Macaca mulatta: one gene and its partners. The protein of the gene in region 2 purifies or fractionates together with the protein of the main gene of each other region. This does not show direct contact. Links are inferred from orthologs where the notes say so. Each region holds a gene or a part of one and is shown on either strand. Other genes may lie near its edges. The genes, in order: RAB8B, GDI2, RAB10, RAB1A, RAB1B, RAB8A and RAB4A.

Region 1 (4,209 bases), on a different chromosome or scaffold from region 2:
GGTGTTTATATAGCTAAGATAAATGGTAAACGTCTGGACCAGAGGTTCTTAAACATTTTGGTTTCAAGACCCCTTTATCCTCTTAAAAATTATTGAAGACTCCAAGAAGCTTTTGTTTATGTGGGTTTTATCTGTCCGTATTTGACATATTAGAAATTAAAACTTTCAAGGGAGAACAACAGATGAGAGACAGAGAGCCCTGGCAGGGTAGACTCCTGGTCCCACACCTCCTTAGCCTTTTGCTTCCACATTACCTGAACCAGTCAACTCCCTTTTCACAACAGCTAATCCGGTTGGGTTTCTGCCACTAGCAAATGAAAGGGGACTGAACAATACACCCACAAAACAAAGAATTAGCCTAAGACAATAAATAATAAAGGATTAACTTGAGTATAACAGAATACTGTTTCCCCCTATATTCGTCATCAGTTAAGTGAGAGCCTACTGAAGACTAATGAATATTACCATCAATGCTAACAGTGCCTTATGGGTTTCAAAGAACTTCCACATTTAGTATTTAAGTTTCACTAGAACCCTATGAAGTATCTTGTTTCATATCCATTTTACAGATGAGAAAACTGAAAAGTACAGTGTTTGCGTGACTTGTCACAGCGGTTATGCAGCAAACCCAAGACTAAATTGAAATCTTACTCTCTAAATTCCCGTGGCCCGGTTCCCGCCTCACAGGACGCTTGCAGTTTTATGGGGCACAGACCTGTAGCACAAGGTTTCCCAGATTTAAAAATCCATCCTCCTGCGAGGAGAGAGGAGCGATCAGCGTAAAAGATTCTTTGAATACTCATCGTATTTGGCTCTGGTCTGTGTGGCTTGAAGAAGGGGGCACGAGTGAGGTTCGAGTTAGCATGGTAACCATTCTTTCTCAGCTCTGTGACTGAGGGGCTGCCGGAGGGGGGTTATAGTGGTTCTGGGCATGGCCTGGGGGAGAAGCTGGATAATGCACTCTGCAGATAACCCGTAGGCTGCGCCACAGCAGCGCCAAGGAAAGAAAGCATCTCTGCTCCAGGTCTCGGCGGAAGAGATGCGGGAACTACGGGACTCTGATTCTGAGGTCCTGGATTTGGAAGGCGCCCGCACACAAAGAAATTACAAAGTTAAGTTCCGGTGGCCCTACCAGCAGAGTTCGAAACGGGGCGTCCCTTCCCAGCTCGGGTGGAAACGCCTCCACCCTGTCACCCCGCCCATAGCAGGTCTTTTATCCGCTGGAGCCGCCTGGACAGTCCGCGCGGGGCACGCCCGAGGCTCCCGGGAGGAACTACAAGTCCCATGAAGCCCCGGGGCGCGGGCGGTGATGACGAAGCCCTCGCGGATTGGCCTCACGGGGAGGGGCGCGCAGGCCTTCTCTGAGAGGAGGGGCGGGGCGCGGGGCGGAGCGAGCAGCGGCGGATTGGCGGGCACGCCCCCTCGCCCGCGGCCCCCTCCTCGCTTCTCTCCACTGCCTCCTCTGGCTCCCCGGTCAGAGGGCCGGAGCGAGAAGATGGCGAAGACGTACGATTATCTCTTCAAGCTGCTGCTGATCGGCGACTCGGGGGTGGGCAAGACCTGCCTCCTGTTCCGCTTCTCAGAGGACGCCTTCAACACCACCTTCATCTCCACCATCGGTGAGGGAGGGGCCGCGGCCCGGGACCGGGGAGAGAATTGGGGGGCGGGTACGAGGGGACGGGGAGAGGGCGGGGGGCGCTTGGGAGCCCGGGAGAGGAGATCCCGGGGACTGCAAGGTGGCGGGGGCACTGAGAGGGGCGAGGGCGTTTGAGGGAGAGGGGCGAGCGGGAACGTGAGGCTAGGGCGAAGGGGTAACTTGGGGGCAAAGGAAGGGGAAGGGGAACAGAGGAACAAGGACTAGGGGTATTGGGGGAACGAGAGGGTTTGCAGACTGACAGGGAGGGGTCTTTGAGGGACAAAATGTGTTGGGGGAAGACGCAGGAAATCTCGTGTAGAGAGAGAAGGGGATAGTGGACGTGCAAATGGATTAAAAGACAGGAGAGGAAGGAAATGTGAAGGGGGAAATGAGGGATGGGGCAATGAGAGGGATGTGAAGTAAAGGGACAGAGGACACAAGGGACAGAGAGGTGAGAACCAGGCAACTGGAAGGGAATTCAGGGGAATGAGCGGTCAGGAGGTGAGGAAGAAGGGGACGGCTGGCCACAGGAGGTCTGGACCGAGATGTCGTAGGAGGGGGCAGAAGAAAATTGTAGGTGGAAGAAGAGTTCAAGGGATTAGAGGGCGGAATGAGGATACTTGGTGGAGAAAGTAAAGGAGATCTGGGTGTGAGACAGAAAGGAAAAGAGGAAGCAACATCATAGTAAAGGGAGGTTGAGCAGAGAAGACAGAGGAGATGGAAAAGAGAGGAAATGGAAAGTAGTGGGGCGCAGGACTTGCTCCAGTAACTGATTACCATGTTCTCTTTACTTCCTTTGGATCAAGTGCAGGAGAAAGCAAAATGTGACTAATGATGGAATAATGTCTGTAGAGCGTTAATTTGTTCTGTGAGTGTTAATGGATGTTAAGGGAATTGGTGACTTTTGGAAATGATGTGGTCAGGAAAATATGGTTCACCTCTTTACTATGATCTCCTGAGAAGCAAGACTTCTCAGTATTTTAAATCCTTGGGTTTGAATGTTTAACAACTTCTCAGCCAAGGAATTGATCTTATGTTCTACCTGCCTCCCTGTATATTTTGCTTTGGTTCTAATTATTGTTAAATGAATCACAACATGTGATACACCTCTAAGTTACTTCCAATTGATTCAAGAGTCTTTCTGATCTTGGCTGGGAGCTGTCCTTTCTACTTTTGTACTGGAAGACCCTGTGTTCAGGTAACAAAATCTCTTAACTTACCATAAACTGAAGACCAAGTCAAAGCTGGTTTTAAGCTGTCTTAGAAGTGACCACCTTAACATCATTTCTCCTGTTAAATAGCTGCAGGTTAATTAAGTACCTTAAGAATATCTCAGCTTTTGGTTGTCTTGGTGATGTTTCTGGCCTCTAATAGTGGCTTATTTAGGCATCTTTCATATGGTTCTTAGAGCATATTTCCCCATGAATTTCTGGGTTGGGAAATAATAGAGAGCTAGTGCTTTGGTAATACGTGTGTTTAAATATTTGTGTATTTTTAAAAATAATTTATCTTTTTTTTAAAAAAGAGTATTTGGTGTAGAACACTCTTTAAGTATTAGAAAAGGCTATGGTTTGTTTGCTCATTCTGGCTTCTTTCATATAGCTTGAATGGTCTAAAATCTCCTGGGTGTTATGATGTCTGGGCTTAAGGAAGTTTGAATTGCAAGTTCTTGGCAGTCAGTCTTGAGTGGGACTTTTTCTTTTCTGAAAAAGCAGATTTTAAATGTCATCTCTAAAGTATATTCCTAAGATTTGGTGGTAGCTGCTGGTACAGCAACTAAAGGGCGTTAATTTTTGACACTGGTATTAATTTCAAAGCCTCAAATAATGACTTTTCATTGTTGAATGCATACTGCAGTACAGATGGTAAAGGATAATTTCTAACAAGTTGAGTGGGTGTCCTTTTGTCCATTCTGTATTTGAGCCTCCCAGAAGTATCTCCTGCCTTGAAAGTAAGTGAATCTCACTGATGCTGTTTTTGTTAAGCTTCTTGGATAACTTGCTTGTTTGTGATAGCTTTATTCATTTTCTGTTTTTTCCTTAATTTTTGTCCCATGTTTCCTTTAAGGGTGTCTGCTTCCTTTTAAAATAGTACCTTTTAAAAATTACTTTTCATTTTGAAGGGTTCAAGTCTATCAGTGGATTTCAAAAAATGATGGAAATGAGGTTCTTTGGAGGGTGACAGCTATGAAGGCATGAAAACCAGTGCTCTGAAACAGATTAGAATAGGAAGTGAACATGAAAAGGAGGTGAATCTCATGTGAGATCTTGGTCTTTATATTTTCTGTGAGGTGGATGTGGTAAAAAGAGGCTGTGAGCTGTGTCTTCAGTTGACGTGGAGGAGGGGAAATCCCGTACCTCTTATTTAGCCCCAGAGCTCCAACAGGAAGTGGTAGCACACTGCCTTCAAACAGCAGAATTTATATACCTGAAACCTAATGCTCTGCAGTCAAAATTAAGCTGGGAAAATAAGGTGAATGTTAGCATCATTCTGGTTCCACAGACTCTTCACTGATTACAAGTATAGATTTTGGGTGTTGACATCTCTAGCAGCCACTCCCTGCATGCCCCTCA
Region 2 (4,245 bases):
TTATGTTAGTTTGTTAGAGAAGTTGTGACAGCATTTAGAAAGGCATTATCCAAAAGCTGTGCTCTTTAGAGATAACCCTTAATTCCTTAGAAAATTAAATTGTGTGGAATATTCCATTTCTTTTACACACAGAATGAAGATTTTACTCCTTTATGCCAAATCATTTTGTATCTTCTTGATTAAAATGACTATCAATATTTGTGATTACGAGCTTGGACTTAACAACTCATACAAACAATGGCAGCACTAAGCAACACAGCAACTCCAGCACTTCCTTACACTTCTTTAAAAGTAACAAGTTCCTAGCACTGAAAGCACTTGCCTTTTTTTAGGTTCTTAAATCTCAGGCACTAAATATAAAGTAAATTTCAAGAAAATTAATTTAACTCCAGACACTCAAAAGTTAATTCTGAGTGCTAACTTTGGTTTTCTCTTCTTCTAATTTTTAGTCATCTAATTCCTGGTAACACTAAAAATAAGGATATAAGATTTCTCATTATCAAAATCATCCTGTCATCACTACTCCTATCAAGGATGGTAATAATGTGATTCTTCTGAATTGATATAATTATCAAAGAACATCTCAGAAAACTTAGGCAGGCTAACAGAGATTAAAGTTATCACAGCTACAAAATGACAGCAGAAATTGGTCTGATTTCTAGTTAAGTATGCATCTACCATTTATCAAAAAGTTCACAATCCAAATGAAAATTTAAACGAAGTGCATTATCTTAACTTGTTATATAAAAAGACTGTTTCACCATCTTTGATACAAAGTGATGTGAATGGGGCTTGTGGAAGCCTGCATGATGGTGGATTTGCACTCACTCGTCCATGCTCAACTGACCTCGATTGTGAGCAAATCTGAAAGACCAGCAACAACCATAGAAAAACGGTGGAACTAACCGGCTCTAACAACACGCTGGCAGCAGCACTACCCATTCCAACGGGCAAAATCCACCACAAACTACTAAGCGCAGTTTGGAATCCCAATTAGGCACTTAAAAAAAAAAGCACAAAACCTGCAGTGGGTAGGGCCTATTCATTTAGGCATCCAACAGCCTTCCAGCTTTTCAAAGACATTGACAGGATTATTCCTGAATTTGTCAAACATAACAAAGTATTCTGAATGAATATTCTCTAATAATTGCATATAACTATAAACAGAAAAATGACAGGCCAGAAAAACACCATTCTAAGTCTTAACAAACCTTTCCTAAAAAATTAGCCAAATAAAAGTTCAAAGGTTTTTTCTTGACTAGAGACATTTAAAAGTGTTATTTTGGGACGTTACCTGTAAAAAAAAAAAAAAAAAAAAACATTAGTTTGAACCTGACAGATTATAATAAATTTCAAAAAATTTGAAGTGGAAGTCTACATTAAATGACACAGGAATTTAAAGTCAGAGTACATAGGATACACAAGATTTACATCAGTATTCATCTTAATTATGATCAAGCAGCCCAAAGTTAGAATTTCAAAGTTCCCAAAAATCGATAGTTAAAATGGTTTTCTCCAAATTCTTTTGCAAGATGAAGTCTTCATAAAAAAAAAAAAAAAAAAAAAAAAAAAAAACAGAAAAAGTACAAACTACAGAACCTGCCTGCATTATCTACAGTTAACCTAAAGCTCTCTAAGCAGACACATAACCAGGAAAATCAATATACCATGGTATTAGGTACACCTTGCATTCATATATATACTACAATGCATTCTTCATGTTGTTACTGATTTATCTTCCAACTCCCTGAAGAAAGCTTCGGAGTACAGAGAACTTGGCCTTTAGCAATCCATCACCAATCCAATTCTTAGGGGAAAAGAGTCCAGAAGAGACAAAGGAGGCAGGGAACCCACCAAACAAAAGGAAAAGGCGGCGAAGGTCAGGTGCGAAAGCATTTGATAGACAAGTTTTGAAAAAACTCAATTCCAATTCTACAGATGCTCGGTAAGTGGGAAGGGAGGGTGGCTAAAAAGATTCAATAATACTTCTTATTAGCAGGGGGGAGAAAGGATTAAAAGCCTAATTTCTGCCTTTTCTCCAAAAATATAAGTTAATCAAGCCCTAGCAGTTCCGAAGCAGTGATTATCCAAGACTTGTCAGGAAACCCCGTGCTCGGCTTTGGCAGCCAGACAGACCCGGGGAAGCGGCCGAGGCGGAATAGGAAATGCAACCGCGAGGCCTGCACCGTCCCCTCCGCCTCGGGTGCTAGTTTCCAACCCGGAGAGGTCACTGGCCCAAAGTGGGGAGCGGGAGCCTCGGCCCGGGCCGCCTTCTCCCTCCACTCCGCTTCCGCAAGGGGGAAGCGCAGCGGCCGGGCTCCGCCGTTACCCCGCCCGGAGCCTCGCGGCCCGCATCTCCATTTCCCCGCCTGCCCCTCACACTGGGAGTCGCCCGATCGTCCCGGGACGCGGGGCGCCCCCAAACCCGCCCGTGCCCCCAGCCACGACTCCCGTCCCGAAAACCACGGCTGACTGCAGAACGAAACCCCCCAGGAGCTGCGACCCGCGGGCCGTGCAGGAGCCGGGGATGCGCCCGCCCCGGCTGCTCAACCCCGGCCCCTCAGCCCCGGCGCCCACCGTCAGGCCAGTGCCCAGCACGATCACGTCGTACTCCTCATTCATGGCGGGGCAGTGGCGGACGCAGAACCAGAGAAAGGAAAAGGCGCAGGGGCTCGGTGACCACCCTACGAGGCTGGGAGGCGCTCTCGGGCGCGAAGGAAACGGGAAGAGAGGAGAGGAAAATGGAGCTGGCGACAAGGCGAGACCTGCCGCCACCTCAGACGGGAAGCGAAGAACCGGGCGGGGAGAAAAGGGGAGGGGGCAGGGAGGGGAGGGCGGTGACTGAGCCTCCGCAGCCGGGGCGGGGCCTGCAGGCGCCGGGAGGGCCGCCAATCAGGCGCTTCCGGCACTCTAATTGGTTTTGTCCCCGTCACTCGCCCAACTTTTTTTCTTCCCCGCCTCTCGCGAGAGGAAAAGGGAGGGGCGTCGCCATTTTGGCTTCCGGTTCCCTTTGCGGTTTCTGCCACCGGGGTCTGGGAGGCGGCGCGTGGACCGGGGTGGAGGCGCACGGGACCGCGGGAGGGGAGTACTGCCGGCCACCACGGTTCTGACTCCCGCCGTCGGGGCGGGAGCTCGCTCGGTCCAAGGTCCCAGAGCCGGACCGCCGTCCTTGGACTTTGAGCGGGTGCTTGCGGCGGCCACGTGGGCGAGGAACGTGGGTCCGGCCGCCTCTCGCGGGTAGCGGCCTTGGTTCCTCCCGCGGGGCTGGGCTCGCCGGGGCCCGGAGCCCGCCGGGAAGAGTTCGGAAATCACACGTGTCCTGTTTCCCGCTCTGTGCCTTCCCTGTTTGGTGCGTTGCCGGTGGGCGCTTTAGGAAAGTGGTAGGAGGAAAAGCGGCTTCTTTTGCTAAAAGGAACCCTTAACGGAGATGAAAGTGAAGGCCAGGTTTCATTGGGAAGCCGATCCGCACTTACCCAGGGCTATAACTTAAAGCCACTGTAAACGTGGTAGCTGATCCTTGGATGCAAAGGTTTAGGCCCTAAGCTTAGAAACTGTACCTTGCTTGCCTTTTAACCCCCTCCTCTTTTTCTAGAATTCTCTTAGGAATCTCTAACTTCATTGAGGACACGGGTGTAAGCAGAAGCTGTGTTCTCAGCTCCAAGAGGCAAATCCCACGAAAGCCTAGGCAGGTGAATTTCCTAAAGGCGATGACAGTTGGAAAACCTGTGTTTTCAGCACGTGATAAATCTGCATAGTCAGCAGACAATGAAGATTTGGCATTCAAGAACTACTCAAATACTTCTCGGTAATAGCTATCATGAGCCTGCCTTGATAGACCGAACTTGCTCATATTTAAATCATCAAGATTGAGGAGAGAATGTAACAACTTTTAAAAATGTTTCTTAACCCGTAAATACTTGGAGAAGATGTGTTATATTGGACCATGGACCTTTTGCAAGGGGAGGGGAGAAGAAAGCAAAAGTAAAGTTTAAATTTATATTCAACCTTAATTTGATTGTGTATATTTGTCACCAAATAAATTAGTGCAAAGTTGACCATACAACTGATTATGCAACAGTGAGTGTAACTGACTTTTCTTTTGGCTAAGCTAATGATGACTAAAGAAAGTCCTTCTGTTGCTCTGTCTTCAAGTCATCAGGGGGTCATACTATACACTACCTGTATTTTTGGACCAATATGAAATACCTTTTTTTTTTTTTTTCCCCTGAGACGATCTCGCCCTGT
Region 3 (3,500 bases), on a different chromosome or scaffold from region 2:
GCCTTCAGAATAAGATTAATATTTAAGATGTTAAAGTCAGCAATTGGCAACCCATGCTTGATAATTTTATGATGATATTTTGTTTCTGTTTTAGATTGCAAGGGAGCATGGTATTAGGTTTTTTGAGACTAGTGCAAAAGCAAATATAAACATCGAAAAGGCGTTCCTCACGTTAGCTGAAGATATCCTTCGAAAGGTAGGTTCCTATTTTTACTTCCTGCCAGGTACCTGAGTGTATCTCTGTTGAATATTTTGTCTATTCTGAAGTACTGTATTTACATACAGAATTTGAGTTTGGGTGGTATTGTTTCTGTAGGGCAGCAGTCCCCAGCTTTTTTGGCACCAAGCACTGGTTTTGTGGAAGATAATTTTTCCATGGACCGTATTGGGTGAAACTGCCCCACCTCAGATCATGAGGCGTTAGATCTTCCTAAGGAGCGTGCAATGTAGATCCCTTGCACGTGCAGTTCACAGTGGGGTTTGCACTCCTGTGAGAATCTAATGCTACCACTGATCTGACGGGAGGCGAAGCTCAGGTAGCAAGCTCCACAGTCACTGTCTAGTCCCTAGTTCCATTATTTTTTCCAGTTTTTCATCTTTTCTAGCCTTTTTATTATTGGATTCATTTCTCTTAATGAGTACTTTGCAGTCTCAGATAATTTAGGAAATTTTAAGATAAGAAATGAATCTATTAAGTAGTTATTGCCACAGAATTGCTATTCTGCCATATTAGTCACTTCTCAGGCAAATAAAGGGCATGTACATATTCTGTACATACTGAATAAAACCTATTATGTAAGAAAATAAATAATGCTGAAAATGTGATCTTGAGGAATGCATGTTTTACCTCAGGTTTGTTTCTGGGCTTAAGATTTGTGACTCTCAATATTTGCTAGTATAAGTAACATGTAGCCAAATTAGGAAATCCGATTTTCATATTTTCCCTCAAGTGACTAGGTATAATGCATGGATTTGGTTATGAATTCTGAATTATCTGTTCAATCTGTTGTAATTTTAAATGCAAATAAATACAGATAAAATCTGACATACATTGGCCAGGCGCGGTGGCTCACATCTCTAATCCCAGCATTTTGGGAGGCTGAGGCAGGCGGATCACGAGGTCAGGAGATGAGACCATCCTGGCCAACACAGTGAAACCCCATCTCTACTAAAAATACAAAAATTAGCTGGGTGTGGTGGCACATGCCTGTAATCCCAGCTTCTTTGGAGGCTGAGGCAGAAGAATCCCTTGAACCAGGGAGTCAGAGGTTGCAGTGAGCCGAGATAACGCCACTGCACGCCAGCCTGGCAACAGACCAAGACTCCATCTCAAAAAAAAAAAAAAAAATCTGACACACATCCTAAAAGAGAAGCAGATGTTGTATAGTAGAAAATGTAATTACATTTGGTAACCTTTCTATTTTTATATTTGAAATATTAATATTTTTTCTAAAACCGACCTATATAAAAGGTAGATGTTTGTTTTTACATTTTCTTAACCAACCAGTTTTTTTTCTTTCTCCACTTTGGAAGGACAGAGACATTAGCTGTAATAAAGGTGGTATGTCACATATAAATCTAGTGAAATTTCTGAGCAATTACAAGAGATTGAGTTGAAATACTTACATTGAAGTAAATTCTTTATATAGAGTGACTAAAACCAAGGGACCTAATTTTTAGAGTGAAATGTAGGTATCTGTTTACTACAATTGAATATTCAAACTGGAAAAAACAGTCATCAGTTATTGCTCTTTAATGGGGCTAAAAAATGGGTGCCCTTTTGAATCTGCCAGCTTCCTTTGCATATCATGTTTTGGGACTTCCTGCTTTAGGAGATGTTTTTCTATGAGAATCCAGTCAGATCAAAAATTGAATTTTATTTCAGAGAATGAGAGAGGCTGACAACAATTAAACTAAGTATAAAAGATCTCCATAGTGTGTGTATTGAGTGATAAAAAGCAAATTAGGGGCTGGGCACTGTGGCTCATGCCTGTAATCCCAGCACTTTGGGAGGCTGAGGCGGGCGGATCACGAGGTCAAGAGATTGAGACCATCCTGGCTAACCCGGTGAAGCCCCGTCTCTACTAAGAATACAAAAAATTAGCCGGGCGTGGTGGCGGGCGCCTGTAGTCCCAGCTACTGGGAAGGCTGAGGCAGGAGAATGGTGTGAACCCAGGAGGCGGAGCTTGCAGTGAGCCGAGATCACGCCACTGCACTCCAGCGTGGGCGACAGAGCGAGACTCCGTCTCAAAAAAAAAAAAAAGGATATAAAATGTGAAGTGATCTCATTTTTCAAGATTATATGATATACCAAACAGACATATGTACATGCAGATACATTTTATTTTTAGCAAATGGAGAACTGGAAGGGTAGATACCAAACTCCAAATAGCACTCCAAGAGAGTGATGGTGGTAAGGGGGAGAGATCATAGGGCAGATTCATGTACTGACTATAGGCAGTTTAGTTTTGAAATTTCAACAGGTTTCTTTTTTGAATTATAAGCAATTTTAAGATTTTTTTAAAAGAACAGTCTTTCACAATTAAGGTGAACCCATTAGAATTTCTTGAGAAAATCTATATTATTTATTGTTCTTTTGAAGAGCAAAAGAATAGAAGAATACAACTAGGAAAAAATGTGTTTCTTTCTGACTTTTTTTTTTGTTTTCTTTTTGAGACAGGGTCTCACTATGTTGCCCAGGGCTGAAGTGTAGTGGCTGTTCGTAAGTGTGATCATGCTGGCTGTAGCCTCAAACTCCTGGCCTCCAGTGATACACTAGTAGCTGGGTCCACAGGGGTCTGCCATCAAGCCTAGCTCGGTCTCTCTCTTTTTTTTTTTTTTTAATTGATGGGATCTTTGTTTCCCAAGCTAGATTTGAACTCCTGGGCTCAAGTCATCCTCCTGCTTCAGCTTTCTGAGTAGCTTAGGACCACGAGGACACATCACTATCCCTCACTAATTTTCAGATTTTTTGGTAGAGATAGGGGTCTCACTGTGTTGTCCAGGCAGGTCTTGAACTCGTGGCCTTAAGGGAACCTCTCGCCCTGGCTTCCCAAAGTGTTGGAATTACAGGTGTGAGCCACGTACCAAAAATTGTATTTTTAATTAAATGAAGGGAATAAAAGAAATAGAAAAATACTTCTTTTAAAATTGGTTGAAGGTACTTTGTATTTCAGACATTGGTGGGTCAGGATGAAACATTATCCAGTATTCACAGTCGAGTTAAAGACCAGGATAAGACTGGCAGGAGTTACCACAAGACCTAGTGAAACACTCTTGGCTCTATGTCCTTTCTCTTTCTGGGCTTTTTGGTCTTCGTGGTTTCTGCTTAGTTTCTATCTATACTATGTCCTTTGATCTTCTCATCAGTCTTGGCTTTTTTTTTTTTTTTTTTTTTTTAAATAGTGCTATATAGCCATTATATATATAATTTTGTGCCCCAGTGAGGTAGAGCTTTCCTTATTATCATTATTAAAGGTTAAAGTATTAGTATACTAATA
Region 4 (3,995 bases), on a different chromosome or scaffold from region 2:
GAGCTGATTAAAGAGAGCTGTTAAGACCACATGTTTTTAAAAAATGAGTTAATATTACTCCCAGAAATTGTAGGCACTATATAGTGATGAATTGCATGTTTTTATTGCTTATTATTTTCCAGTCTTGCAGAAAGGCTCAGGATTAGCAGCAACTACAAATAATACATTACAATTCAACCTGAAGGCTGGGACGAAGGGAGGAGGACTTGAATTTTAGGCTGGCTCTGGGCTGTGCCTCTCCCATCCATGGGATGTGGAGCCATTGAAGGTTGTGGGGTCACGATGGAGTTGCTGTCTCAGAAAGATACATTCGACTGTGTGTGCAAATGGGCTGGGGCGGAGGAGAGAGAGAGAGGTAGAGTCCATCTGGAGACTACTGCAATAGCCAGGCTGACGAGAGCGGGGCACAGTAAGAATGGGAAGAAATCCAATAAGAAAATGGTAGTGCGCGGGGCCAACAATGGACGATGACCGAATAGAGGTGGGTCTGGGTGAGTGACGAGAAGTAAAGAACTGCTCCGTGCTGTCCAGGGAGCCCCTTGACTTCCCTTCTGTCCTTAGAGCGGACGTCCTCCGACCAGCCTCCAACCAGCGCCACCAGGGTGGCGCAAGCCTCAAGCTGGTCAGGTCAGCAAAAGTCGCATGGGAGGCAGGAGCCGACACGCGTGTCCCCCGACCCCCTCTCCGCTCCCGCACGCCGGCAGTCCCTCAGTTTGACCACTCCCTCCGGTCCTTTGCCTCCCGCGACCCCCAGCCTCCGTCGGCCGCCTGCACCACCCTCCGCCCCTCTCCGCCCCCTCCTCCGTGGGGCGCTGACTCGCCCGGCTGCCACGTCTCACTGATGACATCACCAGGGCCGCTCGGTCTTAGCCAATCCGCCAGGGGGAGTCCGAGCGAAGTCCTAGCCAGCGAGTCAGAGGGGAGGGGAACAGGGAGGGGCGGAGGGTGGGGAGGTGAGGGAGTGGGGAATGGGGCGGACGACAACCCTTCAAGTACGCATGCCCCAGAGGCGCGGCGCTTGGCGGGAAGCTGAGTCCTGGCCTCAGCGCCTCACTGTCTATCCTCAGCTCGCGTAGCTGCACTCGCGACTCCCTTTCCCGGCATGCCAGGCGGTGCGGCCGCCCTCTGGGCTGTGTAAAGGCCCCTCGGTCTAAGGCTTCCCTATTTCCTGGTTCGCCGGCGGCCATTTTGGGTGGAAGCGATAGCTGAGTGGCGGCGGCTGCTGATTGTGTTCTAGGGGACAGAGTAGGGGAAGACGTTTGCTCTCCCGGAACAGCCTATCTCATTCCTTTCTTTCGATTACCCGTGGCGCGGAGAGTCAAGGCAGCGGCTGCGGCAGCAAGGGCGGCGGTGGCGGCGGCGGCAGCTGCAGTGACATGTCCAGCATGAATCCCGAATAGTGAGTTCAGGAGAGCACCGGTCGGCTGGGTCCGTGGGCCAGCTTGGGGGATTTTAAAGGGGGCGAGGAGGGTTGGGGCGGAAGTCGGGGCATCGGCTGGGGTGAGGCGAGGGTGATGGGTCAGGAGAGGCTGGCGGCCGGGAGTCGGGCCCCATTGTCTGACGCGGAGGGGCGGCCGGGCGGGGGAGGGGTCGGGTCGGAGGGGTGAGCCGCCCGGGCCTGGACCGGGTCCGGTTGGAGGGCCTGACTGCGGGGCGGGTGCTTAGGAAGTCTGCCCAGGGGCCTGAGGCGGTGTGAAGAGGTAGCTTGTCTCGGAGGCAGTGACTTTTGAAGGAGGACTTGTTTCTAAGAGGAGGGGATGGGGTGGGAGAACCCTTCTAGAGGGCACTGGCAGACCCTGCGCCCGCACTCTGCGGAGCTGTCAGGATCCTCGGGGTGGAAACCAGCTTTACTTGTAAATCCTGAGCTTGTTGGCTCTCTCTTCTTCCATCCTCCCCGCCAGGTTTCAGGTAATATGGATGCTTTTCGGGACTGCGTGGGATTGAGGGGAATGAGTAGATAGGGAGAAGCAACTGAACATTTTTTAGTTCTCTTTTTGAGTTGTGCCTTGAACGAGTTCTTTAAGAGCTCGCCGGGTCCATTGCCCTCCTAAAAACCTGGGCATTTGTGAGTTTTTTTTTTTTTTTTTTTTTTTTTTTTTTTTTTTTTAAAGAGGACACCTAAGTCATTTTGTCTTCTGTAGGTCAAGGGAAAAAAAACCCAAAAAAACAACTAAAGCCAAGGAGTGTGTTTCTGATACTCGCAGATTAAAGGAAGCTTGCTGTCAAGTTGAAAGAGAAACGAATGGGACCTATGATAGATCTGTATGTAGTTTTAGATTACCTGCTTGGATGCTTGCAGATAGGGAATGAGGTTCCATGACGTGTCATGAAAAGTTAATGCATTTCTTTTTCTTGCTTACTCAAGAAGTCACCACAGCAGATGTGACACACCTGGCACCTTTCCTGGGAACTGGTGTTCACTTCCTTTGGGTAGAGTTTGTTGGACTCTCCTCAGTGGCCATTTAAAAATTTCCTCTACAGTTTACATGTATGTAAAGTAATAAATAATTGTAAGAGACCGAATTGGTATTCCTTTTCAGTGTCAAAGGCCTTTGAGGGATGGGGGAAAATCAGTATTTGTTGTAAAAGTTGAGTTTATTTGCTGCTTTGGTCAATTACTGCTAAACATTTCCCCCTAAAAGGTCCACTCACCAGTTTAGCTGACTGTCATATGTGTGTCACATGGCTCTTGCAAAATGCTTTCTTCAAGTTTTGTAATACTGTGGCTTGATGCTGAAATCTCTTGCACTATACAGAAACCATAGTATTTTATTAGAATTTCATGCTTTAGAAGTTAAGGATAGTGTTGTTGTAGTGACATTTGCTGTGTTGACAGTTTAAAACAAATTTTTTTTTTCAAGGGCTCCAAGGACAAAGTTGGTTTTGCACAGTTGAATGGAGTTGAACTTGAGGTTCTTCATTTAGTAGTTTTCTTGGTAACAATAAAGAACATGGATTTACTGCTTTATCGAGGTTTATAGACCTCTACTGTTCAGGAAATTTTCTGAATTTGCTATATATATGTATGTTTATTACTATAAATAAATCTTCAAGATTAGTTGAGAACTTTGACAAGTTACTTAGCCTCTGAATTTTTTTCCCTTTTTGTAAAATAGGATAATTGGAGTCATTATTCCTGTCAGGGTAGTGGTGAAATTCAAATGTATATAAAAGAATTTGGAAAACTGTATGAGCATTCTTCAGGTTGTATGCATCATTTTCATGAAAGGCATTCTATTAGTACTAGGATTTAGAAATATAATCCTTGCATTTAAGAAGTTTAGATATAGGCCGGGCGCCGTGGCTTAGGTCAGTAATCCCAGCACTTTGGGAGGCCAAGGCGGGCGGATCCCGAGGTCAGGAGATCGAGACCATCCTGGCTAACACGGTGAAACCCCGCCTCTACTAAAAATACAAAAAAATTAGCCGGGCGTGGTGGTGGGCGCCTGTAGCTCCAGCTACTCAGTCTGAGGCAGGAGAATGGCGTGAACCCAGAAGGCGGAGCTTGCAGTGGGCCAAGATCGGGCCACTGCACTCCAGCCTGGGCGACAGAGCAAGACTCCGTCTCAAAGAAAAAAAAAAGAAAAAAAAAATAATTTTTTTTTTTTGAGAGGGAGTTTCAATCTTGTTGCCCAGGCTGGAGTGCAATGGCGCAAATCTTGTCTCATCGGCACCTCCGCCTCCTGGGTTCAAGTGATTCTCCTGCCTCAGCTTCCTGAGTAGCTGGGATTACAGGCATGTGCCACCACGCCCGGCAAATTTTGTATTTTTAGTAGAGACGGGGTTTCTCCATGTTGGTCAGGCTGGTCTCAAACTCCCGAGGTGATCCGCCCGCCTCAGCTTCCCAAAGTGTTGGGATTACAGGCGTGAGCCACCGCGCCCGGCAGAAATAGGTTTTATACATGTCGAATACCAGTAGATATAGCAAATTCCAGATGTATGGCATGGATGAGAGCAGCAGGATTTCAGGGGGATGGTGGGTTGTGATTGGCTAT
Region 5 (3,331 bases), on a different chromosome or scaffold from region 2:
CACTGGCTCCTGGTTGTCCAAGACTTAGCCAGGCTGAGACAGTCTGTGCTCTGGCCTCTCCCCATTCCCCGCTCTGTCCTCCCCCGTCCCCTCTCCCCTTTCCCCCTCTCCCCTTTCCCCCTTTCCCCTTTCCCCCTCTCCCCTTTCCCCCTCTCCGCTTTCCCCCTCCCTATTGAGTGCATCCCAGCAACATTCCACTTCCTCCCATTCCCCAGAGACATCATGCCCCTCCCATTCAGTGACCTGGCACATGCTGGCTCCCCAGCTGGCACCTCTCCTGCACAAGGCCAGTTCCCACCTGCAGGCTTAGGCCTGCTGTTGCTCCCACCTCAAGCAGAGGTGGTCTGGGGGCTCCCCGGTCCCTGCCTTCTAACCTGTTTTGCCCTTGTGTGTGGCCTGGTCTATTCCTCTGCTGTCCCGTGAATGTGTTAGGGCAGGACTCGGGTATGATTTCCCCCTTTGTCCCCAGCACTTAGTGCAGGACCCAACTTGGAACATGGCAAGAGTTTGAGCCAGTCTAAGTTTGAGCCAGTGTGATATCATCAGGCCTCTGGCTCCTAAGGAGGAAAAGTGGCACTAGCTTGAGCACTTTCCTGAAAGTCCTGTCCTTTGTGTGTGGGGTAGGGGCAAGCTGCTGGAAGAGTCTGAAGCCGGGTCATAAGGCTGTTGGTGCCAAAAGTAGGATGAATTTTAGGCTGTTCCCAGGAGTCCTGTCTCGCCATGGGCCAGGGCCGCCTCTGAGAGGACCCTCGACCTCCTGCGTTCCAAGGCTACAAACCTTAAAGGGATTTTTCAGGCCACGGTGGGAACTGTAACTCTTGCAGACCTGTTACTCTCTGTTCCTGTCTCCCCTCCACTCTCTCTTTGCTTCTCACATGTGGTTAGGCCTGCAAGTGTCTCGGGCAGAGACAGCTGCAGGGAGCAGAGCTGGCAGGCCTGGGTTGGAGCAGCTGTTGAGGTGCTAGGGCAGCTGGCAGGCTGCTGGGGCTCTTCTGGGTCTTGGATGGAGGAGGGCAGGGAGGAAGGTTCAGCCTGGAGCAGAGGGCTTCCTCTGCATCCCTGAGCCGAGGACTCAAGGGGCCCAGAGCTGTACTGTTCCCCTCAGAGAAGGTCTTGTTCTCCAGGTCTGGGGTAGGGGTGACAGTTGGGAGCAAAATAACTTTGGCCCCTGGCCCCCTCTAGGAGTCCTATGCCAACGTGAAGCAGTGGCTGCAGGAGATTGACCGCTACGCCAGTGAGAACGTTAATAAGCTCCTGGTGGGCAACAAGAGCGACCTCACCACCAAGAAGGTGGTGGACAACACCACAGCCAAGGTAGCAGATGGGCCGGTCTGCCTGGGCTGGGGGCGCTGGGGCCTCCTGCCCCTCACCCTGCTCTCCCCTCCTCTTCTCTCCTCTCCGTTGTCAGGAGTTTGCGGACTCTCTGGGCATCCCCTTCTTGGAGACAAGTGCCAAGAACGCCACCAATGTCGAGCAGGCGTTCATGACCATGGCTGCCGAGATCAAAAAGCGGATGGGGCCCGGAGCAGCCTCCGGGGGCGAGCGGCCCAATCTCAAGATCGACAGCACCCCTGTAAAGCCGGCTGGCGGTGGCTGTTGCTAGGAGGGGCACATGGAGTGGGACAGGAGGGGGCACCTTCTCCAGATGATGTCCCTGGGGGGGTGCAGGAGGTGCCTCCCTCTCCCTCTCCTGGGGCATTTGAGTCTGTGGCTTTGGGGTGTCCTGGGCTCCCCATCTCCCTCTGGCCCATCTGCCTGCTGCCCTGAGCCCCAGTTCTGTCAAGAGTCCCTAAGGGAGGACACTCAGGACCTGTGGTCAGGCAGGGCAGGGGCCTGCTCTGCTGCTGCCTCTAGGTGACTTTCCAAGATGCCCCCCTACACACCTTTCTTTGGAACGAGGGCTCTTCTGTCGGTCTCCCTTCCACCCCCATGTATGCTGCACTGGGTTTCTCTCCTTCCCCTTCTTCCTGCTCTCCTTCTGCCCAAGAGCTGAGGTCTCCCCGGCCTCTACTGCCCTGGCTGCAGTCAGTGCCCAGGGCCAGGAGAGTGGCCAGGGGATCCAGGACCTGGGATCCAGGGCCCTGGGCTGGACCTCAGGACAGGCATGGAGACCACAGGGGCCCAGCAGCCCACCCTTTCCTCTCCCCACTGCCTCCTTTCCCCTCCCACACTCCCAGCTCGAGCCGTCCAGCTGCGGTGGGGTCTGAGTATATCTAGGACGGGTGGGTGGGTAGCCGCACTGGGCTTGTGTCTTGAGCCTGGAGGGAGTCTGCTCCTGCCGCCCTCTGCCCTTCCAGAGACAGACCCGTGCGCTGCCTGCCCAGTGTGCCCCTTTGTCCCCACGTCAGGCAGAGGCGGAAGGCCCACTGTGCCAGAGGCTGGGCACCAGCCTTAACCTTCTGCTAGCACCTCCTCCCCTTCCCCGAGGCAGCACATCTGGCTCACTCTCCCCTGGGTCTCTGGAGCCCACCAGGGAAGGCCCTCATCCCCTGCCGCTACTTCTCTGGGGAATATGGGTTCCATCCGGGGTTGGGGGCCTCTCTGCTCATCCACTCTGCACCCAGGATCCTAGTCCCCTGCCCTCTGGCACAGCTGCTTCCTGCAGGAAAGCAAGTCTTTGGTCTCCCTGAGCAGCCATGTCCCTCGTGCTGTCTCTTGCCTGTCCCACCTGTGCCCTGCCCTCCAGCTTGTATTTAAGTCCCTGGGCTGCCCCTTGGGGTGCCCCCCCGCTCCCAGGTTCCCCTCTGGTGTCATGTCAGGCATTTTGCAAGGAAAAGCCACTTGGGGAAAGATGGAAAAGGACAAAAAAATTAATAAATTTCCATTGGCCCTCGGGTGAGCTGAGGGTTTTTGCAAGGAAGTTGTGGTGGACAAGTGTGGTCTCTGGTCTAAGTCCAGCCTTGGGGTGGGGGGATGGAACTGGAACCCTGGGCTTGATGGGGTGCACGGGGGTCCTGGCTTGGTTTCTGCATCTTAAGGCTGCTGGTGAAAGCCCTTGACCCCGTTTCCTGGGGCCAGGAAAGCTGCTTGTGCTTCTGTGGTCTGTCCCCAAGGGCCCAGCACCGTTCTGTCAGGGAGAGAGAGGGCAGCCATCAGCTCATACCTGGTGTGCCGCCGCCAACTCCCACGGGGGACACGGCAGAGGTGTGGGGTCGTGCAGCCTCTGAAAGGGCCCCCACTGCACCTGGCCCGACCTCCTTCGGCGCCCCCCAAAACCCCGCTGCCCCCATTCAGCCCATGTCCTCGCTTCGCTGTGTGTCCCAGCCAGGTGCTTCTGCCGCCTCCGACAGTGACAAGTGCCTCGCACTTCAGCCTCTGCCCTGCGCGCCCG
Region 6 (4,097 bases), on a different chromosome or scaffold from region 2:
CAGTGGCTCATGCTTGTAATGCCAGCACTTTGGGAGGCCAAGGTGGGCGGATCATGAGGTCAGGAGTTCGAGACCAGCCTGGCCAACGTGGTGAAACCCTGTCTCTACTAAAAAAAAAAAAAAAAAAAAAAATACAAAAATTAGCTGGGCATGGTGGTGGGCACTTGTAATCCCAGGTACTCAGGAGGCTGAAACAGGAGAATTGCTGGAACCTGAGAGGCGGAGGTTGTAGCGAGCCGAGATTATGCCACTGCACTCCAGACTGGGTGACAGAGCGAGACTCCATCTCAAAAAAAAAAGAGGGGGGGTTTGTGGGGAAGGTGCTGAGGCCGGGAAACTGGGATCTGAGTGAAGGCAAGCCACAGTCTGCCCACAGTTAACATAATTTCTTTCTTTCTTTCTTTTAAGATAGGGTCTCGCTCTGTTGCCCAGGCTGGAGTGCAGTGGCGCCATCACAGCTCACTGCACCTTGACCTCCTGGGCTCAATCAATCCTCCCATCTCGGCCTCCCAAGTGGCTGGGTCTATACGGGTAAGCCAGTATGCCCGGCTAATTTTATTTTATTTTTTATAGAGATGGGGTTTTGCTATGTTGCCCAGGCTGAATTAACGCCACTTCTTGATCGGCTGGGGCACAAGAGTTACCCTAAAGTTTGGCCTTGGAGTTGGGGAGGGGGAAGAATTCAGAACCATCTGTCTTCAGAGGCTGGATGCTGTCACTGCAGGAGCCATTCATTCATTTGCTTCTTCGAGATGGCCTCTGGTTACGGTGATAACCCCTTATTGTCTAATTCTAATCCTCAACCACCAGGGCACTAGCCCAGGAGACAGCGTCACTCCTGCTCTAAAGACAGCAGGGCTCAGAGAGGGGCAGTGTATGTTCAAGGGCAAACAGCAATTGGAAACCAGACGTAACGATTTCCAGTCAGTTCTCTCTACTTTACATCAGGCATATAACTGTTTTATAAAGCACAGCTATCCTGGGTGCAGTGGCTTATGCTTGTAATCCCAGCACTTCGGGAGGCCAAGGTAGGTGGATCACAAGGTCATGAGTTTGAGACCAGCCTGACCAACATAGTGAAACTCATATTTACTAAAAATACAAAAATTAGCTGGACGTGGTGGCGGGTGCCTATAGTCCCAGCTACTAGAGAGGCTGAGGCAGGAGAATTGCTTGAACCCGAGAGGCGGAGGTTGCAGTGACCCGAGATAGCACCACTGGATTCCAGCCTGGGCAAAACAGCTAGACTCCATCTCAAAAAATAAAATAAAATAAAATAGAATAAAATAAAATAAAATAAAAAAAGCACAGCTCCTGGAGGGGGGCAAGAATGGAATCAGCACATTATCGTGGGGTTCAGGGAGAAAACATGATTCTGTTGAAGTGACACAGTAAAGCAAAGGCCATTCCCTACGTTTTCGTGACTTGGAATAAACTCCTTAGTGACCGTTCCCCCATTTTCCCCATCCCTAGCAGGGCTACAGAGCTCCCAGGCCACTCAGACTGGTGTTACTCCCCGGTCTAACCTTTTCATTGTGGGCCAGGACTGCTTTTGTGGCACTGAGAGAGGTCAGTTCCACTTCTGCAGACGGCACAACTGAGATGCACCAAGCCAATTCTGTTCAACCACAATGTGGGCTGGCCCTACGGGAAAAGCTGTTCTAAAGTGACAACCGGAGTCTTGGGCCCTTTGATAGGGAAGTCAAGGCTGTCTGTGGCAGTGGCTGATTTAGTTGCTCGCTGAGGCTTTTATCTTGCATCTTCTTGCAGATGACAGGTTCCAGGGCAGGCAGTGCTGTCACTTGTCATTACTGTCATCCTGGAGCAGGATGAAATGTGGGCAGGGAAAAGGTCCTGACTCCTCTTATCATTCCTTCTAGAGGAAAATACACTTATGAGGGGAAGAATGGTCAGGGAGAGGGGTTCAACTTCTGAATACTCCAGAGAAAAGAGCAGGAATGGTGTGGGTTACAGTTCCGGCTCCAAGGTGCATTAGCTGAGCTTGTCATCAGCTGGGAGTGTGAGGTGGCATCTCTCTAGGATAGCTAAGCCTCGAGTTTTGGGTTGAGACACAGCCAGGTTCAAATTCCATCAAATCCCATTCTCACCACCTGCAGACTGTGTGGCCTTGGGCAAGTTCCAGGCCCACCCTGAGCCTCAAATTCCTCATCTGTGAGACGGGCTCAAAACAGCACTTAACACCGAGAACTGGAGAGTGTGAAAATGCACGGGAAGCACTTGGCACATAGTAAATGCTCATTAAGGTGAGATGTCACCGTCTTTTTCCCATGGCCAATTCCCCATGACTCAGTTTCCACTTCTGTAAGGCAGGAGCCTCAAAAGAACCGCTTTGAGGGCTGCTGCTAGGACAGATCGAGAGGACGGGCGCGAAGACCCCAGCCCAGGACATAACACTCCCTAACGAGCGGGCTGAGGGTCGGAGCCTCAGTCTCCCCATCTGCAAAATGGGCACCTGGTCTCCCCCACCACGGCCCAGGAACCTCCGAACGGCGGTACAGGCGACTGCTCTTCTCCCCTTAGGCCCCCTCGACCCTCTCAGCGCCCTCGGCCAGTCCAGCCCGGTAGATCCCTCAGCCCCAGCCCCTCAGGGGCGCGCCCAGCCCGGGCCTCTGGCGCCCCCAGCCACTCCCCGGTCCCGCTACCTATGGTGGAGATAAAAGTGGAGTTGAAGGCGTCCTCGGAGAAGCGGAACAGGACACAGGTCTTCCCCACCCCCGAGTCCCCGATCAGCAGCAGCTTGAACAGGTAATCGTAGGTCTTCGCCATATTACACTCTCTCCCCGACGGGAAGTGCGGCCAGCGCCTCTCCACTGGCCACCAGCACCGTCCATCAGCGCCGAGCCCGCCCCTTATTGGCTCCAGGCCCGCTGCGCGTCACCGCGGCCGACGCCCGCCCCTGCGTCCCGCCAGTCGCGGGGAGACCTGGGGAGGGGGCGAATGGAGCGCGGAGCCGGAAGCAGCCCGAGCGCACCTCCCATTGGCCGGCACTAGGGAGAGGACGGGCTCTGATTGACCAGCAGTGAAGAGTCGTGGGGCTTCAAATGGGGACGAGGCGGGGGCGTGGCATTATGTGGCCCCCGCCTTCCACCCCCTACTCGGGCGCCCCGGCCCCGCCCCACTACAGGAGAGGGAAGGCAGGGAGCGTCGCCAACGGCTCGCGCGCCGGCAGCCTGGGGGGCGGGGCTTGGGGTGCGTGCGCACGAGCGCCCGGAGTTCCGTTAGGCGACGGCAGAGGGCGCAATCCTGTACTTGGGGCGGGTATCTCTGGGTCCCGCCGTCACAACTCGCGCAGGCGCAATAGGCCCCGAGGCGAGCGCGGGAAACCATGGTAGCGCTCTCAACCTGATCTGCGGCCTCCGAGTCGGGGCAGCGGGGGCCGACGGAGGAAGGAGAGAGGAGACACTGTATACTCGAAAAGTGACCCGGGCCGGGCGCGGTGGCTGAAATCCCAGAACTTTGGGAGGCCTAGGCGCGTGGATCACGAGGTCAGGAGTTCAAGACCAGCCTGGCCAAGATGGTGAAACCCCATTTCTACTAAAAATACAAAAATTAGCCGGGCGTGGTGGCGGGCGCCTGTAATCCCAGCTACTTGGGAGGCTGAGGCAGAGAATTGCTTGAATCTGGGAGGCGGAGGTTGCAGTGAGCCGAGATCGCGCCTTTGCACTCAAGCCTGGGCGACAGAGCAAGACTCCATCTCAAAAATAAATAAATAAATAAAAGTGACCCAAGACGAGTTCCGAGGTCTGCGGCCTAGCGACCTGCTTACAGATACCCAAGGCCTCCGCCACCTGAGCGGCTTCACCGCCACAAGCTATGCCCCGAAGCGCGCGCCGGCCTCCTCAGGGTCCGCCCTCGGCCGCTTTAGGAGTTGTCCGGGCCAGCCCGGGGGGTTTAGAACAGTGAGGATGCTTTAGAACAGTGAGGATGCTTGTTCCTATCTAGGGGCCAGGACTCTCAACACTGAAAAAACAGGCCGGGGCTGTGGCTGCCACCTGTGATCCCAGTGCTTTGGGAGGCCAGGAGTTTGAGGCTGCAGTAAGCGGTGATCGTCCCACTGCACTCCAGCATGGACGACA
Region 7 (3,500 bases), on a different chromosome or scaffold from region 2:
TTCATTTTCCCCTTTCTCGGTTCATGCCCTTGTCCTGGTGAAGTATATCCTCCTAAACTTTCTAAGAAAGTACATTTCTAAGAAGTCTCTAAGAAAGATAATCTTGGCTTCCTGCTCATTCTTGCACATCTGTTGGTATTCAGCCTTTACTCGCACAGTTACAGTTTGGCTAAGTTTAGAATTTTAGGTTGAAGAATTATTTCACCCTGAGTTTTGAAGGCAATACTTCCATTTCTTTTAGCCTCCAATGTTGCTGTGGCAGGGTTCAAAGCAATTCCATTTCTCACACTGTATATGTGGCTGCTTTTTCCCTCTTGGAACCTTTTTGGTCTCCTTTACTTCATCTCTGGTGTTCTGAAATTTCACATGACATGCTCTGGTCTGGACTTTTTCCTTACTATGTTTGATTTTAGGTGGGCCAATTAATCTGGAATCTCATTCCTTCAGTGAAACGTTTTCTTCTATTGTTTCCTCTGCTCTTCTCTCTTCTGGAACTCCTAATAGTCAGGCATTGCATCTTCTGGATTAATTCTGAATGATTCTTTACGTCATCTCTCCCATTTTTCACCATGAGTTTACTTATTATTCTGATTGCTCTTTTTAAGTATGACTTTGTTTCTATTACTTACTTCAATGCAATCTCTGCTCTTCTTTCTGAGGATACTGTGGTTTTAGTGTGATTTTCTTATTCCCTGAAAGTTCTAGCTTCTTTACTTTGAGCTCTTTCTTTTGCTGTAGAAACTTTCTTCAAATTTCTGCCTGATCATTAAGAGCAAGGAATGAAAAAGTCTAAAAGCAGCTCTTTATGTGTGGGTGAAGCGGGTGGGCTTGGAGGGTTTCACTGTCAGATGACTGGATAGAGATGGGGCTGTTTCTCTGGGAAAGCAAAACACAGTACCTTCAAGTCTTTCCTTTCCGACTATTCATTTTTCTAGAGAAGGCTCTTTTCTCTTTTCTCCTATGTGGGACATACACACCTGGCTGCCAGTGACCAGGGAAGAGGTGGGCGGCAGGGGGCGGTGGGGGGGCGGTTGGGGGCCAGAGGCTTTCACTTTCACTTAATTTCTCTCTTTTCAGGCCTGACCCCGTGCCCTCAGGTGGGCCTTATGACCTTGAGTCTAGACCCCATTTCAACGTAAAAGACTGAACCTCTTATTTCGTGTGTAAACATGAACCTCTGTAACGTCTACCTCCTGTAGAACCTGATGCTTCCAAATGCTGACCTTTTCTGGGACTCCGGAGGAAGAAATGGCTTCCCCCATTACAGCACTTAAGGCAGAGCTCCTTCTGCTGTCACAGCACCATCTACTTCCTATCTTTAAGAAATTTTTTGGAAATCTCTCAACCATAATTGTGCACTCTCTCAATCTTGGCCTTTTTGTATTAATTCAATTTCAGTTACTTAATAGATATTTCAGTGGGGTTCTGAGAAGGAAAAGGCATACATGTCTAATTGAATCCACCGTGTTTAATCAATGCTTCCAGAAAAATGATGGTGATTAAAGGTGGTTATGGTATTTTTGAAGCAATTATTGAACTTCAATTACTTAATTAATTTTTGAGACAGAGTTTTGTTCTTGTTGCCCAGGCTGGACTACAATGGCATGATTTCAGCTCACTGCAACCTCCACTTCCCAGGTTCAAGCGATTTTCCTGCCTCAGCCTCCAGAGTAGCTGGGATTACAGGCACCTGCCGCCACGTCCAGCTAATTATTTTTATTTTTAGTAGAGAAGGGGTTATACCATGTTGGCCAGGCTGGTCTTGAACTCCTGACCTCAGGTGAGGAAGTCTACCTCGGCCTCCCAAAGTGCTGGGATTACAGGCATGAGCCACTGTGCCCGGCCAAACTTCAATTATTTAATATAAGATATATACTCAACTTTAAGTGAAACGTTTACAAATGGGGTGGATTTCACTGAATTATAAAACTATCTGCTCTGACTGTGCATCTGTGCAAAAAACACAACTGAAATATTCATCTATTTTCTTACTTTAGTAGTTACAGAATACTAAACATGTAACCTCATTTGCAGTGCTGAAGTCATTCTGAGCCTCAATTATGACCCTATTGTAATAAAAGTGTGGAGAGAATATTTTGTGGAGTGTGTATCAAACATCAGAACATGCTCTAGTTAATGTAAAACAAAACAAACCCTCACAAGAGGTTTTAAAAAGTTCTTCTTTAAAAAAGGAACACAGAAAAACAAGCTTGTGCTTTGATGTGAATCTAGAAACATACTGTACAATACACAGTGTCACATCCTCCTGAGAACGGGTCAGCCTCCGAATGATAATGCGGTTGCCTGGAAATCCTCCTGTATTCTTTAGTAATCCATGCTGCACAGAGCTAACCTGAATTTTAGCTGTCTTGTCAAGCAAAGTTTCCAAAAATGAAGTTTCTGAGATTAGGACAAGGAAGGGGTGTGTTGGGGAGGGGATGAGACCTTACATATTGAGAGAATATCATCAAGTATTTCAAATCAAATTTTCAAATATTTTTATTAAGTTAGAGAAAAGCTACCTGAATCGTTCTTGTCCTGCTGTATCCCATATTTGTAACTTTACATATTTACCACCAACATTTATTATCTTTGAACCAAATTCCACTCCTATTGTATGATTTGAGTCATCTTTGACTAAAAAAGAAAAACAAGAACAGCATATTTAATTTTAGAACATTAACAGGCTTATAAATTTAAACAAGTGACACTAAAACCAAGAGTTACACCAATGGGGAATGGACGTTAGCCATTCATTTCTCCAACATTCCACTGAGAAGATGCATTTAGTTTAAAAGATAATACACATAGCCCCTATTCTCCAACAGACATAAAGATTTTTCTCAAAACCCCTAAACAAATCATACATTTAAAAACCTATGCCTGAAGGTAGCCCTGCCATACCCGAACCACATGCAATTGTGCGCTGTGAAGATGCTCACAGATGGCGACTGCTGACGTACCAGGTACCATTCTGAAGGGCGTAACGCCCAGTGACAGGTCTGGAACTCAGTAAGTAATGAGGTGGAGACAGTTTCAACTACTGTATTTGAATGGTTAAATATTCTAAAGAAATAACAGTGAATGGAAGGAAAAGCAGGGGAAAAGGGAAAAGGAGGAAAAAAATTGAACCAAAGAATAAACACCCTCCAACAAAGCCCAAAACACCCTCCAACAAAGCCCAAAACAAAACCCTATGCGATCTACAGGTGTTTGAGCTTTTATTAATTGTAGTGTTCTATGGAAATGATTTGGGATGAATTTGTTGGAGAAATTAGTACTATTTGAATGGGCAGGAGAGAGGCAAAATAAGTATTTTGCTAAACCCAGCGGGAATACACTGCCTATGAAAGAACATTTCGGTGATGATGAACAGATAAGCTAAAATTGAATATCATGGCTATACAGTCCATTGGCTAGTTTGTATTTTGTAATTGCAGAACAAAATTTAATTTTTCCAGGGATCAGGGATGCCACTTGGCAACTGGATTTATTATTCA

Evidence for each region.
Region 1: the proteins of GDI2 (region 2) and RAB8B purify together in Homo sapiens (affinity purification with mass spectrometry; 3 studies listed by BioGRID and IntAct, with this or other methods). This does not show direct contact. The link is inferred for Macaca mulatta from reciprocal best matches to the Homo sapiens genes GDI2 and RAB8B.
Region 3: the proteins of GDI2 (region 2) and RAB10 purify together in Homo sapiens (co-immunoprecipitation; 3 studies listed by BioGRID and IntAct, with this or other methods). This does not show direct contact. The link is inferred for Macaca mulatta from reciprocal best matches to the Homo sapiens genes GDI2 and RAB10.
Region 4: the proteins of GDI2 (region 2) and RAB1A purify together in Homo sapiens (affinity purification with mass spectrometry; 6 studies listed by BioGRID and IntAct, counting the BioPlex papers as one, with this or other methods). This does not show direct contact. The link is inferred for Macaca mulatta from reciprocal best matches to the Homo sapiens genes GDI2 and RAB1A.
Region 5: the proteins of GDI2 (region 2) and RAB1B purify together in Homo sapiens (affinity purification with mass spectrometry; 3 studies listed by BioGRID and IntAct, counting the BioPlex papers as one, with this or other methods). This does not show direct contact. The link is inferred for Macaca mulatta from reciprocal best matches to the Homo sapiens genes GDI2 and RAB1B.
Region 6: the proteins of GDI2 (region 2) and RAB8A purify together in Homo sapiens (co-immunoprecipitation; 5 studies listed by BioGRID and IntAct, with this or other methods). This does not show direct contact. The link is inferred for Macaca mulatta from reciprocal best matches to the Homo sapiens genes GDI2 and RAB8A.
Region 7: the proteins of GDI2 (region 2) and RAB4A purify together in Homo sapiens (co-immunoprecipitation; 3 studies listed by BioGRID and IntAct, with this or other methods). This does not show direct contact. The link is inferred for Macaca mulatta from reciprocal best matches to the Homo sapiens genes GDI2 and RAB4A.

The regions. Positions count from the first base shown.
Region 1 is NC_133412.1:40,520,678-40,524,886, forward strand, and holds the start of RAB8B (ras-related protein Rab-8B), read left to right. Parts: upstream 1-1,409; 5' UTR 1,410-1,495; coding exon 1,496-1,619; intron 1,620-4,209. UniProt on the Homo sapiens protein: The small GTPases Rab are key regulators of intracellular membrane trafficking, from the formation of transport vesicles to their fusion with membranes.
Region 2 is NC_133414.1:7,371,540-7,375,784, forward strand, and holds the start of GDI2 (rab GDP dissociation inhibitor beta), read right to left. Parts: upstream 2,801-4,245; 5' UTR 2,623-2,800; coding exon 2,578-2,622; intron 1-2,577. UniProt on the Homo sapiens protein: GDP-dissociation inhibitor preventing the GDP to GTP exchange of most Rab proteins. By keeping these small GTPases in their inactive GDP-bound form regulates intracellular membrane trafficking.
Region 3 is NC_133418.1:98,862,983-98,866,482, reverse strand, and holds part of RAB10 (ras-related protein Rab-10), read left to right. Parts: intron 1-94; coding exon 95-196; intron 197-3,500. UniProt on the Homo sapiens protein: The small GTPases Rab are key regulators of intracellular membrane trafficking, from the formation of transport vesicles to their fusion with membranes.
Region 4 is NC_133418.1:59,583,319-59,587,313, forward strand, and holds the start of RAB1A (ras-related protein Rab-1A), read left to right. Parts: upstream 1-1,195; 5' UTR 1,196-1,376; coding exon 1,377-1,399; intron 1,400-3,995. UniProt on the Homo sapiens protein: The small GTPases Rab are key regulators of intracellular membrane trafficking, from the formation of transport vesicles to their fusion with membranes.
Region 5 is NC_133419.1:8,138,660-8,141,990, reverse strand, and holds the end of RAB1B (ras-related protein Rab-1B), read left to right. Parts: intron 1-1,182; coding exon 1,183-1,314; intron 1,315-1,408; coding exon 1,409-1,603; 3' UTR 1,604-2,831; downstream 2,832-3,331. UniProt on the Homo sapiens protein: The small GTPases Rab are key regulators of intracellular membrane trafficking, from the formation of transport vesicles to their fusion with membranes.
Region 6 is NC_133424.1:16,585,546-16,589,642, reverse strand, and holds the start of RAB8A (ras-related protein Rab-8A), read right to left. Parts: upstream 2,801-4,097; 5' UTR 2,788-2,800; coding exon 2,664-2,787; intron 2,314-2,663; exon of another isoform or gene 1,722-2,313; intron 1-1,721. UniProt on the Homo sapiens protein: The small GTPases Rab are key regulators of intracellular membrane trafficking, from the formation of transport vesicles to their fusion with membranes.
Region 7 is NC_133406.1:19,757,053-19,760,552, forward strand, and holds part of RAB4A (ras-related protein Rab-4A), read right to left. Parts: intron 2,638-3,500; coding exon 2,523-2,637; intron 1-2,522. UniProt on the Homo sapiens protein: The small GTPases Rab are key regulators of intracellular membrane trafficking, from the formation of transport vesicles to their fusion with membranes.